Sus scrofa: one gene and its partner. The protein of the gene in region 2 interacts with the protein of the main gene of each other region in a biochemical or structural test. Links are inferred from orthologs where the notes say so. Each region holds a gene or a part of one and is shown on either strand. Other genes may lie near its edges. The genes, in order: PDHA1 and PDK1.

Region 1 (4,492 bases), on a different chromosome or scaffold from region 2:
GACCCACTTGGCCCACACCACTAGAAATGCTCATTCCCAGGTCAGGGGAGGATTTCCTTGCTAGGACCCTCCATGTGCTCTTATGGGACTAAGCCCTGCTAACAGTAGCCCAAAGCCTCAGGACCACCTGTCATACCAGTCTGTTAGGATCCAGGAAATGGTTCCTTCTTGTTGCTTCTTTCCATATCTAGGGTTACACTATGACCAACATTGATCTGGTAGAATTATATGTATCTTTGGTCCTTCGTTCCAAGTCAGCTAGTCATCTTACTTTTATCAGAGGCTCAGTTGCCCATTTGGTAATGCAAGAAACAGTAGTCTTGTAAAACAGGCAGGATACAAGGAGTATAGCTAGAGACATTAATAAGGTCGTAAGTATTTAAGCGAAGAAATTCCATTCATTGCAGCCCTGTATCTCCCTAGGTCTTGTGACTCAGTCTGTTCTGTACCAGTCGCTATCTTTAAGGGAAATGATACATTGGCATTTGTGCATAAAGTTCACCAAAGATGTCTGCACATACGAGGTGAGTGGAGGGCAATCACGACGATTTACAGGATTGAGCAAGGAATGTTATCTTCAAAGGAGTTACATGGCTGGCTCTAGAAGAAGAAAAATTGAGCTTTATGGCTGAGGAGGTATTTCTGCCATTGGGGAGGTGAGCTTAATGAATAATGTAGATGAACAATGCACACCAGAAAGGGGGGGTGTGTGTGGAGAAGGCCCAAACAGACAGAGAAAACATTTTTGTTTAAATATTTCTTGTCTTGGAGGCCCGGTCATGGCTCAGCAAGAACGAATCCGAGTAGTATCCGTGAGGACACGGGTTTGATCCCAGGCCTCAGTCAGTGGGTTAAGGATTCCGCATTGTCATGAGCTGTAGTGTAGGTTGCAGATGTGGTTTGGGTCCCTTCGCTGTGGCTGTGACGTAGGCCGGCAGCTGCAGCTCCAATTCGACCCCTAGCCTGGGAACCTCCATATGCCACAGGTGTGGACCTAAAAAGACAAAAAAAAAAAGAAAAAGAAAAAATTCTTGCCTTGCTTTAAAATAATAATTTTATTTCATCAGATCCTAGCTCAAGTAGGCAGGGAAGCCTTTTACAACTGTTATGTAACTTCTTAGAGACAAGTTGGCAGCAGAACCATTTATAAAAACCATATGTTCTGTCCTTTGGCCCCATCAGGCTATTAATCTTTATCATCCAGTGTATTGAGCAGAGGCTGCAAAGGTGCAGTACTGGCAAGACTAGTCGCTGGGTAGTATTGCCCTTGAACGATCTCCAGAGGAGCACGGCTCAGCTGTGGCGCCCAATCTAACAGGGTCCATTCCCGAGTGGCCCTGGAGGCGTGGCCTCGCTTTCCCACGCAGGCGTCCTCAGGTCTCCCGCCCCTCACCCGTGTGGTGACGGAGGCAGCCCTCAGCCCAGCTCTCTGGCTCCGACACCCAATGGGCGGCCGTGGGCCTCTCGGGTGGGCGGGGCACGCCCTGAGAGCAATCCTGGTTGGCCCGTGGCCCGGTGCGGCGCATGACGTCTTCCGTCGCGTCGCGTCGCGTCGCGTTCCGTAGCGCCGCCGTTAGGTCTTAGCGTCCTCCCCGGGCGCCTGAAGGAGACTTGGAGACTTCTGGGCCTCGCTGCTTGAGCGGTTGGGAGTCGCCGCTGCTGCCACTGCCCGCACTCCATGAGGAAGATGCTCGCCGCCGTCTCCCGCGTGTTGTCGGGCGTCGCCCAGAAGCCGGTGAGTCGGCCTGAGCGGCCCGTGGCAGGGAAAGAGCGGGACCGAGGCGGGGCCCGACGCCGGAGGACGCCAAAGGGCAGGGCAAGCGGGCTAGGCGGGCGGGTCGGGCCGGGCGCAGCGGTCTTCGGGGAGCCGCAGGCCTTTGTTCTGCTTCCACGTTGTGTGCTGCACTCCTGGCCGCGAGCGGAGCGGCGACTCGGCCAAGCGGCGCCGCCTGTTGGAGGGGGAGCTTTACAAGGTCCACGTGGAGGTCAGCAGTGGTTCCCCGTGCCGGGCTTGTTGATGCGGCCCCAAAATGCCCGCCCCCCGCCCCCCAAAAGAAGCAAAAGTGCCCGTTCCTTTACTGTAGACAGAAAAGGGGGCCTTGGGCTTCCTCGAGTTGGCTGCCTCTTCCTGGCCGGTTCATTAAAATTTTTCCTTAGTTCCTCTTGACCAGGAATCCGGAGACTGACTCCGTTCAGACGCCAGCCTCACTCTTTACTAGCCCTGTGGTCTTGGGCAAGAGTTTTTTGGTTTTGCTTTTTTTCTTAAAACAGCCCGGTGCTCAATTTCCTCATTTCTGAAATGGAGAGTACTTACTCCATGGGGTTGTCGTGAGGCTTAAAGGAGTGACAAGTATGTAAACCTTTCCGGTAGCGCCTGGTACATGGTAGGTGCCGTCAGTATTAAATATTGTTATTATTTGAGTTCCCAATTTGGTATACATTTGTTGAACGCCAGCGCTCGGCTCTGTGGAGTGTTGATGCAGGGTTGGGTTCCAGAGAAACAACACACTTGGTACTCTTTCCTCCCCTCTGCCTCAACGGTGAGCTTTTCCTAGGCAGTCGATTCAAAAGCCGTCAGGCAGAACCCAGAGGGAGGCCCTCCACTTGCACACAGATGCGGAGACACTCTCATTTAGGATAGAAGTAGCTAAAGTGGTGTTTGGGAGGATGGGGTTAGAGGTTAGCGCTATTTATGGCTCCAACTTTTAGACATTCCTAGCCGAAGTTCAGAGCATTTTGACCTCTAAGCACGGGATGGGTGGTAATGTGACTTGGTATCACTGCAGCCAAGTTTTGACTTGCAGTTCTTGCTCCAGTAACTCCCAAGACTGGCAGCTCAGCTTGGTATAGGGCAGAGATCATCGAACGGTTGGAGGAAGTGTACTTCTCTAGGACTGCCATTGATTGACAAACACAGAATGCCATGTGATTAATCTGTATTAGCATTTAGGTTGTGATTGGATCTCCCTGAAAAACAAGCACATTTCACCGTTGTTTTTGGTCTTTTTGCCATTTCTAGGGCCGCTCCTGCGGCATATGGAGGTTCCCAGGCTAGGGGTCGAATCAGAGCCGTAGCCACCTGCCTACTCCAGAGCCACAGGAACTCGGGATCCGAGCGCGTCTGCGACCTACACCACAGCTCACGGCAACACTGGATCCTTAACCCACTGAGCATGGCCAGGGGTTGAACCCGCAACCTCATGGTTCCTAGTCAGATTCGTTAACCACTGAGCCACGACAGGAGCTCTAGTTTTTGTATTTATTTTTTATTTCTATGTACACAAAAGATAAATCCAGCATTTATTGTGCCCTTAATGTGTGCCAGGCACGTGACTATTTAATGTCCAAAACATCAGTTTTTAGTTGAATGTAGGTAATAGAAATATGTTTTCAACATCATACAGGGCCTTAGTTCGGTGTGATTACAGTAGAACTTCGTTTGAATTGATGGCGTTCTACAGACAAGGAAAATTTGTGAGTTTTCAAATTACTATCCCCTGTGTCCCTATGAACAGCGAAAAGTCAATATTTAAAATCAGAGTTTCATTCCCTTAGCTGTCCAAAATACTCCTGCTTGTGGGTTGTTGTCTTCCTGCAATGTGTTGGCATCAAAGGCAGATTGCACTTGGTGTTCCACCTCAGTAAAACTTGGGCCTTCTCAAAAATCATACAATACATCTCAAGTCAAATAGAAACGAGAGTTGGGTAACAGTGATCTGTTAAAAATGGAATATGGGAGTTCCTGTGGCCCAGTGGGTTAAGAACCTGACTAGTATCCATGAGGATGCAGGTTCGATTCCTGGCATTACTCAGTGGGTTAAAGGATCTAGTGTTGCCACAAGCTGTGGTGTAGGTTGCAGATGCGGCTTGGATCTGGTGTTGCTATGGCTGTGGTGTAGGCCGGCAGTTGCAGCCCCACTTCGACCCATAGCCTGGGAACTTCCATATGCTGCAGATGTGGCTCCAAAAGGACCAAAAATGAAATATAACTTTATTTAGTCAAAAATTCTTAAGAGATAAGATTATTATGGCAGAAATGGATTCCTGTGCAGAACAATTTATTTAATTAAAAACATTCTTTACTCTGTCTCTTTCTTCTTGTTTTCTTTTGTTCTACCCAATTATGTTGAGGGTTTCTTGCCCTTTTGGGAGGTTTAATAATTTCTTCTGCCGGTGTTCAGTAGATGTTTGGTGCGAATCATTCTACATGCAGAGGTGTTGTTTTGATGTGTTTGTGGGAGAAGGCGAGCCCAACCTCTTACTCCTCCACCATCCTGATCCTTCCCTAAAAGCATTTTTAATGAGGATGAGAGACTGAAGGAGTTACTGCTCCTTACCTTGAGCTGTCCTTCTTGTTAAGCTATTTTGCATGTTTTTTCTGCTGCCTGCATATGTGTGATTAATTGTACTAAGGCAGAAAGACAAATATTCTGAAGAATTCTGTATTAACCCTGTGTTGGTGGGCTGAAGCCCTATTTAATACTTCCCCTTC
Region 2 (2,938 bases):
AAGAACCCTTGCCCTGGTTTTTTTGTTTTGTTTTGTTTTTTTGTGGGGTTTGATCAAATTACAATGACAGATTTAAGTACATAAACAGATTTAGGAACAATTACAGTTGACTCTTAGTAAGCATATAGCTCACCTGGTGGGAGCAGAAGCACTTAGCCTATTGGCTTGGGATATTCCATGTGTTTATGCAGACAGAGATCAGTGTATTTCACAGGGATGAAAAGCACTAGGCCCCACCAATCCACTGGATTTGCTCTGCAGTGGGCTGTTGGTGCCTGATTCAGTGACACTAATTTCTTGTTATGGCCACTAGATGGCACCTATTTTATAGGAAATGCTGAAGACTTCACATTAGAAAAAGTAAATTTGTCTGAAAAGATTAAAATTATTTCAAGGTAATAATTTTTCTTTTTTTTAACCATCTTAATTGTGAAGAACTTAAAAAAGAGTGTCTTCACGTTTCCCTTTTTATCATTAAATGTAACTTTTTTTTTTTTGCTTTTTCTAGGGCCGCTCCCCCAGCATATGGAGGTTCCCAGGCTAGGGGTCGAATTGGAGCTGCCAGCCTACACCAGAGCCACAGCAACACGGGATCTGAGCCACATCTGTGGCCTACACCACAGCTCATGGCAACCCTGGATCCTTAACCCACTGAGCAAGGCCAGGGATTGAACCCGCAACCTCATGGATCTTAGTAGAATTTGTTAACCACTGCGCCATGATGGGAACTCTGTAAATGTAACATTTTTGTTTGAGTCTATAGATCCAGGAGTTTGGCAGTTCTGGCATATTTAAGAGAAAATATATATATATGTGGAAGGTTTTTAGCTTCATTTTGGGAAAAAAATAGAATACAGGAAGTCTTATAAAATCGTTAAAAAACAACAAAGACCTTCCTTACCATTATTGGAATGAAATTTCCAGTTCATTCTCTTCTACATCTTGAGGAATGAATGCCTGTAGCTTAAGGTTGAGATCCTACCAAAACATCCTAACTTGAAGATGACAAGGAACAGTTGGTCTCAGGTTCTAGTGATTTATAGGAACTGAAATAGAACAGTGAATTGATGGTGTTACTATGTTGGAAACATGAAATTACAGTCAGCCCTCTGTATCCCCTGGTTTTGCATCCACAAATCTAACCAAATGGGAATCAGAAGTATTTGCAGAAAAAAAAATTCCAGTAAGTTCCAAAAAGCAAAATTTGCTGCATACCCACAACTATTTATTTACGTAATATTTATATTGTAACTATTTGCATAGCATTTATATTAGCTATTATAATTAATCTAGAGTTGATTTTAAGTATACAGCAGGATCTGTATGGATTATATGCAGATACCACACCATTTTATTTAAGGGACTTGAGTATCGGCAGATTTTGGTATCTATGAGAGGGTTGATACAGAAGTTCAGCTGTGCATGATGCCGAAATCACATGTGCTGTAACTAAAATCCATGACTTTAATGGCAGAAGAAGGCACAGGATCAAACCCAGATTTCATTAAATGATTGTACAATTACATATGTTAAGGTACATATGAGAATTTTTATGCTTTTACAGTTAACTGACTTTTTCAATTAACTAACTTCTGCTCTGGGTCATGTTTTATAAGAGGTATCTTTCATACCTATGTAATATTTCAATTCAGCAACTTCCAGGCTGGCTGGAGAATTACTGCAAGTCCTAAACTCAGTCAACATACACATTAAGCAGTTGCCATAGGCTTAGTAAATAACTTATTTCAAATATGTGCTCTATTCTAAAATGTTAGGGTACCTGCTGTGGTGCAATGGGATTGGCGATGTCTCTGGAGCACTGGGATGCAGGTTCCATCCCTGCCTGGCACAGTGGGTTAAAGGAGGATCCATTGTTGTCATAGCTGCAATGTAGGTCCCAACTGTGGCTCCATCTGATCCCTGGCACCAGATCCATGTGCCGTGGGGTGGCCAAAAAAGAAAAAAAAAATTAAACACAACAGCCGTCATTTAGAATAGAATAAGCTAGAATTCAAGTAGATGGTGTATGGTAAAATACAGATCCAAAAAAATATTGTTCAATTTGTAATACTTTTTATACTATTGCATGTTTTCTCAAATAATGGATTCTTTTTAAAAAATGCCTAACTTGAAGTCCCGCTTTTTCTTTTAGGCTCTGTCCACAGACTCAATAGAAAGACTCCCAGTGTATAACAAAGCTGCCTGGAAGCATTACAACACCAACCATGAGGCTGATGACTGGTGTGTCCCCAGCAGAGAACCAAAAGACATGACAACATTCCGCAGTGCCTAGACACACTTGATACCCTTGGAAAATCCAGATGTGGCTTTTGCATTAAATTTGGAAGGGATGGTGTTCAGAACTACATTATACCAAATACTTCATGTGTCGTTTTCACAGTTCACTATCTGGGTAGAGTAAGTGGCAAGTCAGTTCCATTTATGCCTGTTCAATCTCCTCAAGGACAACATCGTATCTACATTACACTTAATATTTTCACAGTTAATTGAACCTATTTTTAAACAACTAGTTTTGCTCACCTTTCTCTTTAGAGTGGATTTCAGAAGCGTAGAAATCTTTGGGTTTCTACGGGAAGCTATGTGGTTTTTTAAAAAATTCTTTTATGTCTGCTGGAAACATCTTCATACTGATTAGCTAGGTTAGCCATCTTTCTGTTTTAGAGGAGTTCTGCCGTCCTTTATTTAGTAATGATAGATGTAATAAGACGATCAGATTTATACAACTATCTACAATTAGAGCCGTAAACAGTTGCTCTGTTACTGTAGAACCAGCGATCTTTCAGCATCTACATGCATTGTCTTCACTCTGAAGTTAATTTATCATTTTTTAATTTTATTGCAAAGGATTATGATTGGTTTCCTGTGGAGTTAAGCCAAGATCATGGTCTCTTGTGATTAATGCAAGGGGAAATTCTGA

What was found.
Region 1: the proteins of PDK1 (region 2) and PDHA1 form a complex in vitro, tested with the Homo sapiens proteins (2 studies listed by BioGRID, with this or other methods). The link is inferred for Sus scrofa from reciprocal best matches to the Homo sapiens genes PDK1 and PDHA1.

Annotation. Positions count from the first base shown.
Region 1 is NC_010461.5:15,698,528-15,703,019, forward strand, and holds the start of PDHA1 (pyruvate dehydrogenase E1 component subunit alpha, somatic form, mitochondrial), read left to right. Parts: upstream 1-1,396; 5' UTR 1,397-1,678; coding exon 1,679-1,735; intron 1,736-4,492. UniProt on the Homo sapiens protein: The pyruvate dehydrogenase complex catalyzes the overall conversion of pyruvate to acetyl-CoA and CO(2), and thereby links the glycolytic pathway to the tricarboxylic cycle.
Region 2 is NC_010457.5:78,646,228-78,649,165, forward strand, and holds the end of PDK1 ([Pyruvate dehydrogenase (acetyl-transferring)] kinase isozyme 1, mitochondrial), read left to right. Parts: intron 1-612; exon of another isoform or gene 613-1,920; intron 1,921-2,152; coding exon 2,153-2,293; 3' UTR 2,294-2,368; downstream 2,369-2,938. UniProt on the Homo sapiens protein: Kinase that plays a key role in regulation of glucose and fatty acid metabolism and homeostasis via phosphorylation of the pyruvate dehydrogenase subunits PDHA1 and PDHA2.